Arabidopsis thaliana: one gene and its partner. The gene in region 1 interacts genetically with each later gene. Each region holds a gene or a part of one and is shown on either strand. Other genes may lie near its edges.

Evidence for each region. Genes that interact genetically often act in the same process or in processes that back each other up.
Region 2: of ET2 (region 1) and FUS3, changing one enhances a phenotype caused by changing the other (phenotypic enhancement), as found in Arabidopsis thaliana (one study listed by BioGRID).

The regions. Positions count from the first base shown.
Region 1 is NC_003076.8:22,963,237-22,969,723, reverse strand, and holds ET2 (effector of transcription2), read left to right. Parts: upstream 1-3,325; 5' UTR 3,326-3,482; coding exon 3,483-3,584; intron 3,585-3,909; coding exon 3,910-4,269; intron 4,270-4,350; coding exon 4,351-5,340; 3' UTR 5,341-5,491; downstream 5,492-6,487. Other genes in the region: AT5G56790 (Protein kinase superfamily protein), read right to left, coding at 1-360, 452-546, 645-799, 943-1,114; AT5G56770 (transcription repressor-like protein), read left to right, coding at 5,735-5,856, 5,969-6,371. UniProt on the Arabidopsis thaliana protein: Transcriptional regulator involved in the regulation of cell differentiation in meristems. Probably regulates the expression of various KNAT genes involved in the maintenance of the cells in an undifferentiated, merismastic state.
Region 2 is NC_003074.8:9,852,299-9,858,709, reverse strand, and holds FUS3 (AP2/B3-like transcriptional factor family protein), read left to right. Parts: upstream 1-2,497; 5' UTR 2,498-2,961; coding exon 2,962-3,204; intron 3,205-3,395; coding exon 3,396-3,485; intron 3,486-3,567; coding exon 3,568-3,668; intron 3,669-3,991; coding exon 3,992-4,038; intron 4,039-4,140; coding exon 4,141-4,217; intron 4,218-4,301; coding exon 4,302-4,685; 3' UTR 4,686-4,882; downstream 4,883-6,411. Other genes in the region: AT3G26782 (Tetratricopeptide repeat (TPR)-like superfamily protein), read right to left, coding at 6,028-6,411. UniProt on the Arabidopsis thaliana protein: Transcription regulator involved in gene regulation during late embryogenesis. Its expression to the epidermis is sufficient to control foliar organ identity by regulating positively the synthesis abscisic acid (ABA) and negatively gibberellin production.

The DNA.
Region 1 (6,487 bases):
CTTCCATCATTGACCCACAAATTCTCTTTCTTGAGACCCTCAAAGACTCGAGAAGCTAAAAACGGTGAGGCTCCAGCATCAGAGCTAGATATTGATGAAGTCCCTATATCAGTATGTGAAGAAACTTCTTGGTCTGGACTGCTAGCTGGAGTCACAAACGGTTCCCTCAACTTTTTTCCAGTTCTTGAGCTTCTCCGAGACTCGACAGACTTTGAAGCTAACCTTGATATAGCTTCTGGATGCTCTGTATCTGCATTTTTCACCAAATTGAGACGAAGAACCTTTGGCTGTGACTTCTTGATTACTACAAGATTGCACTCCAATTGCTCAATACAGCATTTCTTCTCATACTTCAGTCCCCTGTTTTAAAATTATCAAAAGGTCAAGAATCACTAAACTATGCATTTTCAAAACACACACACACACACGTGTATATCTGCATAGTATTTACCTGTCTAAAATCACCCAGTTTGAGTTGGATTTCTTAGCTTCAGCAGCAATAACTCCATCAAGTGAAGCAAAAACAATTTTGATTCTGACATTTATCTGCATTATTATCAAAGCAAACAAAACTCTTTATAATCTCATTAACCAAAAAAGCTGTTTCTTTTTAAATCTACATGAATAAAAGTGAGTTTCTCTACCTTCTCTGCATCATAAACATTGTGTAACTGAAACATCATCTGAGAACATGACTCATGAATATCATCTTTCCTATCCGAATTCGTTCCAGCAAGAAATCTTCCATAACCTGATGCACAGTCACTAGTGAACCTCGAAAATCCCCAAATCTTTTTACCTGAAAGAAACCAAAGACATAAAGATTAAATCTTTACACCATTCTAACTAAATCATTCAGCACCAAAGAGACCAAATTTATCACCACTCAACACCAATAAGTAGCCAAATCGAAAAAGAAGAGAAGAGGAAAAAGATGTGTACTTGTGTAATTAGAAGGAACAACAACAAGAAGTCTAATTCGATCTCCAGGTTGAACAACATGAGTTAAAGTCCATAAAAGAGCTGCTTTTGGGATCTCCTTTGAAGCTCTAACAGCAACCATTACTTTCTTCCCCACTACAACACCTCTCTCTTTAAAACCCTTCTGCTTCATTCTCTAGCTAAGATTAAGGAAATCACAAATACAGAAATTGAAAGAACTTCTTCTTCAACCCTTGCTTACATATACTTTTAACACTTCACTCAATCTAAACCCATTTTTCTTCTGAAATGAGAAAGTGGAAGTATCACGCAATCCAAGATGCTTTCTCAAGTGACCCTAGAAGCTAAAAGAAATAAATAGAAAAAAAGTTGAGAAATTAACGCGTGTGTGAGTGTGTGTTAGTAAGTGTGTGAGATTCAATGTCTTTGAAAGACTGAAACTAATATTTTATCTGAGAAACACAAGAACAGATGCACAAAACACAACAGCACAGGAACCAATAGTGTAGTACTCTACTCTCTCTCTCTTAATAGCCAATCCCTAGATCTCTCTCTCTGTTTCTTGCAGAGAAATTTCAAAGCTTTTAGTTTGGGTTTGAAGACTTTAAGCTCCACGAAAATGGTGTGAGCATTGCTTTGCTGTAGAAAACAAGAAAAACTTGCTCATACTTTGTAAAGTGGGGCCAAAAAGCTGATGAAGTAAGTCCGATTTTTGGATTTTCAGCTACTAATTTCTTCGACAAAATCAGAGGAATTTGGTAGAAGATAAAAGCAAATATCCAAACAATTAAAATATAAACAGAGAAAGATGACAAATAAGAAGTATTTTGGATTTGTAGCTCTGTTTGAAGGAAGAGACAATGGTGTGTTATTATTATTATATGATTGGTGGAGTTTCTTTCTTCTTCTTCTTTCTCTCTATTTGTCTCTGTATTTTTTTTTGTATTTTAAATAAATTCCAAGAATAATAAAAAGAATAAAGAAATATTCACAAAGTACTCTGCTTTATTCTAAAGAGAGCAAAAAGAAACCAAGAGAGTTGTGTCAAAGGATGATACTTGATTCTTTTTTTGGTTCAAATTTGTTGATTTTAATTTTTTAGAATTAGTGAAAGAATAAGACTGTTTTCTTTCTTCATGGACAAGTTATGGCCAACTTTCTTCTTTTATAACAAAAGAACCATTATAGAATTGGTTCTCATAATTCATTTCAAAAGAAAAAGAGTAAAAATTAGCTTAGAATGGTTATAATGAAGGAGTTGAACGTTGCACTTGCATGCTTTTCATGTTGCTTTTTATATATTTCAGTGGAGAAAGTGAAAAACAAAAGTTGAGAAAAGATGATTTGTACTTTATTAAAGCATAAAAGGTGCTTCAATAAATCAAAGTCTAGTGATGCAATCGAATATATCTTATGTTATCTTAGAAATTAAACAATTTTGAGATCTTATGATTTAGTAAATATATACTGTTACTTAAGTGAAAAGGGTGAAAACAACATTTTGGACTTAATGGCAGCATGGAAAGTGACACTAATCAGTTTTTTTTTTTCTTTTTTTAATAAAGTGGTATCAGAATTGTTATCTTTAAGTTTTACTTTTTTTTTCGGCTTCGGAAACGGGGTCCTTAGATGGTAGGGGATAGGTGAGCCGCTTGTCGACATTCCATAGACACATTGATTGGCTTATAGCTTCAACGCGGTTAGCATCCTTAGGGCAAGCCATCAAATTAAAACAAGTATATCTCATGAGTTAAGTGTTAAGATAATGACCACATTTGTGAGATGTTGTGGAACATTAGTTCTCCCTATATATAACGGTTGGAGAACTTCCAAAGTGAAATTTGACGCGGATCGTCGACAACCAAATGCCACAATCCGGTGGGTAGAAATACCCGATGAACAGATTTACATATTCAACAACATAAATTAAATGTGTTTTCTTATAAAACATGACAAATATTAATTTGATAAGTATTTGTGTCTTTGACATTACTTTTTTAAAAAAGAGTTATTTTACGCATATTTTGTAAATATTCAATTTATTCTAAAATACTAATGATTAACAAAGGATAGACAAGATTGGTTGAAAACGAATATCACATGACCAATTTCTGGTTCTCATCAATATATTTGGTAATAACATTTGCCAAATCAAGTAAAAGTGTAATAAAAAAATCCCAAAGATAGAAGAAAATTTGACCAATTGAAAAGTTAAGTATTCTCATTAAAGAATGTAGATTCCCTCCCTTATGCTAATTACGGTTGTCAACATTGACTAATGTAGATTAAAAAAAAAAAATCCAACGGTAACTAATAAACCGTACAGAAGAAGCTTCACCGTTCCAACGGTAACTTGAAACTTTTCCTTCGGACAGAATAAAACAAAAATCATCCATTTTGGAAGGATAAACATCCATTTTTGGAGGGGAGAAAAACTTTTCTCATTTTTAACGGTGGTGTCTCTAAATTAACGAGCACTGAGAAAAAAGACCAAGTCCGCTTTAATTTAACGGTCACACTATATCATCGGTTTTATCGAAATGGAATTCGGCGACGGCGTTTCCTTCGCCGTCGTCCCCACTGTCTTCAAAAGAGAAGACTACAAACGAACTAAACACGACACCGTCTTCTCCAAGTGGCAGGTCCTCTGTCTTTCTCTTTCTCGATTTGTAGATTGAGAATTTTCGCTCGATCTTGTGTTTTCTCTGAAACCCATTTCGGAATTCTCAGATTTTCAGTTGAATCGAAAAATCTGATCTTCCATTTCCAGGATTTCAGTGTAAAGATCCCATTTTGAATGCCTAGTGTGTCTGCTTTGTCCCAAATGCATTTTCTCTGGATTTCTGTTAGAATTGGTCGCTAACTATATGTATATCTAATTAGCCTAATTCTGTTTCATTTGCTACTTGAAGTGGTTGGTTTTAGATCTTAGTTTTATCTGATTGTGTAAAGTTTGATGCTGCACAGGTACTTATAGGATCCAACGATTGGGAAGATTTCAAAAACGGAAAAGATGGTGTAGGTAGATACAGAGTCCAGAACTTACCTCGTAAATCTTGTCCGGGTCTGTATGAGCTCGGTGTAGCGGTCATCGGTCAAGAACAATGTCGAAAGCTTGAACCAGATATTGTTCTTGCTTCATATCTAGGACAAGCTGAAAGTGTTAGGTCTAGACTTCAGCGTTATGGAAGATCCGGTGCTCATTTGCGCAATGTTAACAACCTTAACGACTGTGAAACTATTGAATCTCCAGTTAAGGCTGTTACTGGAGGTTTATTTGAAGACATATTTTCGAAAGGAGGCTCGATTTTATACAGATGGGCTCCGGTTAGTAAATACATTTCTTCTTTTCTTCTATATTGGTTTGCTAAGTATACAACTTTGATCTAACTCATGTGATTGTATCAGATGGGATCTAAGAGAGAAGCTGAGGCAACAGAAGGGATGCTCTTGAGCACATTTGACTATGCTTGGAACAAAGGAAGTAACGGGGAGCGAAGGCAGCTTGATTTGCTTAAGAAGCTCGGTGATCGCGAGTTTATGAGCAAGAGAAAGTCCGGTATATCTCGAATGCTGTTTCCTTTTCTTCGGAACCAAGTTGGTATCAGAATAAAAGGAGAGAAGCATGTGCTTAAAGAAGAGAGGAAGCTAACCTGTGATGTTGATGAAGAGAAGAGTAATAATTTCCTCACTTCAATACTCAAACTCACCCGGTCTAGACCTCAACCGGTTTCAGACAGATTTGATGAGGTTGATGGTTCTTGTTCTGATATTGTTTGTGGAGTCTTACTTGAAGATGGTGGCTGTTGCATTAGAAGTCCAGTCAAAGGGAGAAAGAGATGCATAGAGCATAAAGGACAGAGAGTTTGCCGTGTTTCACCCGAAAAACAGACACCGCCAAAGTCCGAGATTTTCACTGGACAAGATCATCACAATCATAAAGACTCTGATGTTGTGTGTGGAGTGATCTTACCTGACATGGAACCTTGCAATAAGAGACCTGTTCCTGGAAGAAAACGATGTGAGGATCATAAAGGCATGAGGATCAATGCTTTTCTTTTTCTTCTTAACCAAACTGACCGTGAGAAAACCGTCAAAGACGAGAAACCTGATCCCGAATCGCATACCGAGTCAATCGAAGAAGAAGCTTTGACTCGCTTCTGTGAAGCTACAACAAAGAATGGGTTACCTTGCACAAGAAGTTCTCCTAAAGGAAGCAAAAGGTGTTGGCAACATAAGGAGAAAACTTCCAGCGATACTTCGCCGGTATATTTTCAGCCAGAGGCAGCAAAAAACGTAGCTTGTGGAGTTAAATTAGGCAATGGATTGATCTGTGAGAGATCTCCGGTAAAAGGACGTAAGAGATGTGAAGAGCATAAGGGAATGAGAATCACCTAACCTCTGCATCACTTGTTTATGTTATTTGTTACCTAACCAGAATTGTTTGTACCAAAACCGTTTTGGTTTCGGTATTGGTTTGCTGAACAATCATCTGTACTGGATGACTCACAATCTCATTTTTTATAAATTTAAAATCAGTTTTGATTAACATCGTTGACTTGCATCTTTGCATTACATTAGATGTTTTTAGATTTAAAAATACATAGACCCGTTTCCCGCCATGCCTCCACTTTGTTACTTGTCCATGATGCGAAAAACTGTAAACGACCCATTTCTTTTTCAACTTCCCTTCGCTTCTTCCATATATCTACGATCGTAATATATCAGAGCTGCCTTCTTTCATTATTTTTCTGTAGCAGAACCGTTTTGTTCTGTTTTATTTTGTTTGACAATGTCGTTTGTTCTATTATCGAAGATGGCGAAGTTGAAGTTTAACCATATACGACACACAATCATTAGCACGCAAAAAAGCACAACCATTATGCCGGGGATAAGTCAGCTCTTGAACAATAGGTCTCTTATCATCTCATCTATTCACAATGTTGTTGCATTTTTATCCTCTGTTTTTTTTCTTACTATTATTGGTCCTTCAGGCTTTAAATTAATGGTCATAATGTATCACCAGATTGATCGGAAAGGAATTCAGTTCCGCCGTCCCCACTATGTTCAAGAGAGAAGACTACAAGCTGACTATACACGACATCGCATTCTCCAAATGGCGGAATCTTATAAGACACAATGATTGGAAAGATTTCAATAATAGAAAAGAAAGGGTCCGTAGATACAGACATGAGGACTTACCCCCTCAACGTTGTACGGGTCTGTATGAGCTCGGTGTAGGCGTCATCGGTCAAGACCAAGGCCAAAACTTTGATCCTGATAATAATGTTCTTGGTGTATATGTCGGACAATGTGTAGACGTAAAATCAAGACTCCAGGATTATGGAAGACGCGGTGGTCATTTGCCCTCGGGTTTATATGAGGACATATTCTCGGAAGGATACTCAGTTTTTTATAGATGGGCACCAGTAAATACATGTCTTCTTATCTTCTCTAGTTGGTCTGCTACGTATACACCTTTGATCCTAACTCATGTGATTGTTTCTCTGCTTTACCGTGATTTATCAGATGGGATCTAATTAAG
Region 2 (6,411 bases), on another chromosome or scaffold:
ATTAAACAAATTCTTATATTTAGAAATTCGTTTTCATTTCTCATATAATTTGATATTATTATTTAAATAGTTATATATATATATATTTTACCAAAAAGTGTTTAAAAAAAAAAAAGTTAAATAGACGTTACTCATCTTTTATCATGATACACGTTTCTGTTTCCATAGATCAACAATACTTAAAAAAACAAAAATCAATACAATACGTCTCTTTTTAATACATGTGCATATTATAGTAGTCAAGTATATTTATATATATCTCAATTTCATATACTATTATCTAACTATATTTTTTAATGTTATTTTAGTTATGTTTATATTTTGGTAGGTCATATAATTCATGGATAAAAACTAATTGAAAGTATATTGGCCTGAAACATACATGTAGAGTATAGCGAAGAACTATTATAGTATATATATACTTATTAACTAGCATTCCTTTACACACTTTGAAATATATATACTTATAACTATTATAGTACATATATACTTATTAATTACTACTAGCATTTCTTTACACACTTTGAAATTAGAATTAAATCTATTCTTCCCATTACTTGTTATTTGTCAATATTTATTTTTGATGGTTTTTATATAATATACACATATCTAAGATGTCGTTTGTTTATAATTTCAAAGTGAGTAAAAAAAAATAAAAAAATAAGAGATACTCTCATAAGTTTGAAGAGATTACATGCCACTTTCAATGCATAAAATCAGTTTTATACATGGACAAGTGGTATGCAATCCCTCCAAAATGAATGAGAGAATCCTCTTTTTTTTTTCTTAACCACTTTGAAATTAATTAAGTATATTTTTAACTTCTAAATCCTCCCCATCCAACACCATTCCAAAACATATCCATTTAGAGTCGAAGAATTATCTAACTATATTATGTGGCTGGCCAGAAAAAGTTTAATTAGTTCCGATTTAATATGCAATCTATTATATTGAGTTTATATTAGGGCCTGAGATAGTTTTCTAATAAAACAAAAGTCAAGTAAGTAATCAAATGAAATATAGCTTCGATTTACTAAATTATACGTCATTTGTGATATAATGAAAAACGTTTCATGGATAAGTGGCAACTATTCTCTCCAAATTTAGTGAGTGAATTTTTCTTTTTCTTTCTTTATGCACTTTTAAATTGTAATTAGTTGTCAAATATCGCTTGACTAGTTTTCATTCAAAAATCATGAACTATCAATCTATCACTATAGTTGTAAGCTAAAATTCATTATACATATGTACACTAACATGAGTAACTATTTAATCTTCTTTTTGTTTTCGAAAACTCATTAGTCATTAGAGTTTTAAAGTCATGAAAAAAAAGAGAAAGAATCTTTTATTAAATTTGGAGAGAATAGTTGCCACTTGTCCATGCAAAGAAAACAAAAAATATCAAAAACGTTTTAACGTCACGTATTCTTCCTCACCCATACTTTCCCCTAATATATTCGTGCAGAGTCGAAAATTATTTTAGTATATTACTAAAATTGACAAAATCGTTACTTGATTATCATTTAGTAACGCCCTTATCAAGAAAAATGGAAAGTAGAATCGAACAAAATATTAATTAAATTCAGGAAAAATATTAATCGACCAAACATATACAGTATGGTTTTTTTGTTAAAGTTAAATCATAGAAGAATAACGAAACATGAATTGCAATTTTCTAAGAGTATGCATCTAGTTAAAACCCATGGAAATGTGTTATCATGTCGATAATCAATCATTCGACGAATTATAGAATATGGCATATAAATGGTATTTGTTAGTAACAATGACAACAATATATATAGATGATAGATAAATTTGTGTCAATCTAAGTTGTATATACTAACAAATTATAAATACCATTACACATTTTTCGTCTGTTATTCGTCGAATATTGATAGATTAACGAAATGATTACACATTTCCATAGTTTTAACTAGATGCATAATTTACAAAATTCAATTCATGTTTCTTTATTTTCTATAATTTAACTTTAACAAAAAAAACATATTTCTTTTGTCGCTTTTTTTTCTTCTGAAATATAATTAATGGAGTACTATATTGTTCCATTCATCTTTCCATAATTTTTTCTGATACGGGCGTTACTAAATGAAAGTCAAGTAACGATTTTCGTATGGGAGTTTGATATTCTAGCTTTAAGCTATGAGACAAATGTGCTATTTCAACCTAAGTCAAGTAATCTCAAAGGTACAATGAATCCTTCACTTCTCTTCCAAATCAGTTATCGTCTAAGTCTGTAGAAACAAAAAGCCTTTATTCTTGGTCGCAAAAATGTTCTTTATCCCTAAAAAAAAGTCGTAGAATCTACGTATATACAAATCACATGTTGACCAGTAAGTAATGAGAGTTAAATTGACTTTAAAACTAGAGTTAAATGTGGTAGAGAGAGAGAAGAAGACGCCATTGAATTCTGGAAAAAAGGAAAGAAGCAGAACTTTTGCTACACTTGTTCACCATGCACAATCCACTCGTCCCTTTGCTCTTGGTTCTAAACTTTAACCTAACCTAATCTCTAAACTATGGTTGAGTGTTAGTTTAGTGGCATTAGATCTTGTTGCGTTACTATCATCATAATAATCTTATCAAGATTTAGAAAATCTTAATCTTCCAAAACCCTAGATTCATGAATGTAGGTTATACAAATGTCACTTCCTTACCATAAATAGTAAAACAAAAATCATTAAAAACCAATGGTAAACCCAAATCTCTGATTGCCCAGCGTCCATTTTAAGCCTCTGTTTCGATCTGCACAACACACATACACACAACACAACACAAACCACAGTCTCTCTTTCTCTCTCTATCTATCTTCTCTTTCTCTCTCTATCTCTATCACTGAAACCCAAAGAGATCCACCATTTGTTCTTTTTTCCTTCACACAGAGAACTGTTTTCTTCCACACTTCCTTTTTACTAGGCAGTGTTAACCAATTGAGAGAGAAAAATGATGGTTGATGAAAATGTGGAAACCAAGGCCTCTACTTTAGTGGCAAGTGTTGATCATGGGTTTGGATCCGGGTCGGGTCATGATCATCATGGGTTATCGGCGTCTGTGCCTCTTCTTGGTGTTAACTGGAAGAAGAGAAGGATGCCTAGACAGAGACGATCTTCTTCTTCCTTTAACCTTCTCTCTTTCCCTCCTCCTATGCCTCCTATTTCCCACGTGCCAACTCCTCTCCCCGCACGTGTAAGCTCTTCACTCTTTTTTACTATTTTCCCTCTCTCTCTCTCTCTCTAAATATTATTAATTCAAAACTATTTTTTGTTATTTTTATAAGATCTGTGAGGATCCAAATAAAAATAGATTTAGAGTTTTGTATATTTTTCTATTGGATTGGTTTTATTAAAAAGATTCAATGTATATTGTGATGATGTCAGAAAATTGACCCAAGAAAGCTAAGATTCCTCTTCCAAAAGGAACTCAAGAACAGTGACGTCAGCTCTCTCCGACGTATGATACTCCCGAAGGTGATCTTTGATTATATATGATCATGATGATGATTAATGATGTTGGTGTTGATATGATAACTAATGATGATGATCCATATAGAAAGCCGCGGAGGCTCACTTGCCGGCACTTGAATGCAAGGAAGGGATTCCTATAAGAATGGAAGATTTGGACGGTTTTCACGTTTGGACCTTCAAGTATAGGTACTTTTATCATTTTACTCCTAATCAATGTTATGTAACAAAGCATAGCTTATATAGTTGAATCAAACTATTCAGTTACAAAATTGGTTAGCAAGAATTTCAAAATTGGCTAGTACGAATCTATAACGGATAGGTTATATCTGATCTTAAGATCTACATGGATAATTCTTGGTAGATCAATCATTTTGAAAGTATTCATGTATCCATGTCGATCTTAAGACCTTTAAAATAGCATCATTTCATTTAAGACTAAGCTAAAGTAAATGAGATCGTTAGAAGAAACCATAGATGTTTGAGTCTTGGCCTAATGTTGTGATCATTAGGTACTGGCCAAACAACAATAGCAGAATGTACGTGCTAGAAAACACAGGTAAAGTTACCGACAATCCCGGTTTTTGTTTTTTTTTATGATAATAAAAAATCGAATCAATGATTGTTAAAAATATTGGATCGAGCTGGGTATTATTTCCAGGCGATTTTGTGAATGCTCATGGTCTGCAGCTAGGTGACTTCATCATGGTTTACCAAGATCTCTACTCAAACAATTACGTACGTTACACGCTACTAAAAAGAAAATTCTACAAAACGTGTTACATGTTTAGGCTCAATTTTATTTATTTATTTTTACTTTAGGTTATACAAGCAAGAAAAGCATCGGAAGAAGAAGAAGTAGACGTAATCAATCTTGAAGAAGACGACGTTTACACAAACTTAACAAGGATCGAAAACACTGTGGTTAACGATCTTCTCCTCCAAGATTTTAATCATCACAACAACAACAACAACAACAACAGCAACAGCAACAGCAACAAATGTTCTTACTATTATCCAGTCATAGATGATGTCACCACAAACACAGAGTCTTTTGTCTACGACACGACGGCTCTTACCTCCAACGATACTCCTCTCGATTTTTTGGGTGGACATACGACGACTACTAATAATTATTACTCCAAGTTCGGAACATTCGATGGTTTGGGCTCCGTTGAGAATATCTCTCTCGATGACTTCTACTAGATAATCAATCGATGGGCTCATGGTATTCTTGATGGTGATCAGCTATTTAATATCCTTATAATATATATAAGAATTAAATGCAATTTGCATATATATTATCAAGTGTTGAATATAACATTACAGTTTATATGAAAATCATAGCTAGATGTGAGTCATGAAGGTGTGTTGTATTTGATGAATAAATGTTATTTAGTGTTACGGCGTTAATATATTATTAATCCTTTAAAGAAGATTTATGATACTAGTTTTCTTTTTATTGGAGATTATTTGTTTGTCTTGCAAACGTTAATCATTATATATACTAGAATTAAGGATTGAAATTTTTTGATGTTAAGTTTAGAAACAATTTATGTTGATAAAATCATTTTATGCTAGTAAAGTTTGTATTAAGCTACATCAATCTTATATATATAATCCCACACATTGCGTAGGAAAATTTAGTTATCACTAATAAAAAAAAGCACATAATTTAGAACACCTCAACTAATTGATAAGTAGGTAGTTAGTTACTATATATTTAATCAAAGATCAAAATGTGACAGTTGTAGTACCATCTCCTTATAAAAGCTATCTTACTGCAATAATCTTGTACCTCAAGGTACCCAAGATTTCTCATTCCTTCTTCTAAGTATAGTAATAAAGGATACCATGCTTTAAACTTTTCGGGGACTATTAAACTTCGAGGTTGTCAATTGATTAAAACCTTATACTGAACTGAAGTAACACTCCGTCTTATCTAGGAGACCTAGTTACCGCAAAAAAATTATTTTCTTTAGTAAATACTCGATAAAATTAAAGACCACTCTATTGGATTATAAACTTTATTCATGTCTGTTTTAATCGTCATATAATTTCGTCCCTAAACCATGAAACATCTCTTGTGAAATTAGAATATTATATGAAAGTAATATTCTTTAGATAAAAGCCGATTGTGTTTCCGAAATAAGATCCGATAGGACTTTTTAAGTTTTTGTCATAGGAATTAAGATATTATTTTCTGGGATGTAACTGGTTTAAAAAAAAGAAGAGATATTTAATAATACCTCATATGATCAAGCATTTGCTTTTAATTTTATCATCTTCATCTTCTTCATCTCTCTATCTCTCTCTCAATGCCAAACTCAAGTCCATCGTAGACCAGACGAGCTACAAGAGTTTGGTGTTATGTAACACTTTTATACTATTTTATTGTATATCATTCTTTTCAAACCAAGAACCATATTTTTCAAGTTTAACGGTTAACAAAACCAATAGATTTGTGAAATCGTAATTGTATTTTCTTACACTAAATCTGATTAAACACGAGAAGAATTACTCATCTAAACGAAATTCTAATATCTAATCACCAGTAATCTCCACAGGAACATCCACCATCTTTGAAATGGTGAAACCTCTTCGCATCTCTAACCACAAACTCTCTATCAACAATCTTTGAAATCAACTTGATCACATTGTGACAATCGCTGCAAACTCTCAGATTCTTGACCACATTAACCGTCGAGCCAGGAACCGTGTTCATGATCCCAAACGCAATCGCTAGTTTCTCGCTGTGAACTCTCAGTGTCATCTCTTTCTCTTCCTCATCAACATCATGACATACAGATGACGTGTTCGATACGTAACCTGCCTCTAACAGCTTCCTGTTCAGTTCTGCTAAAAACTCGTAAATCTTCTCACGCTGAGGATGCTCTTCGTCTCCGATCAAGAACACATGAACCTCACCATT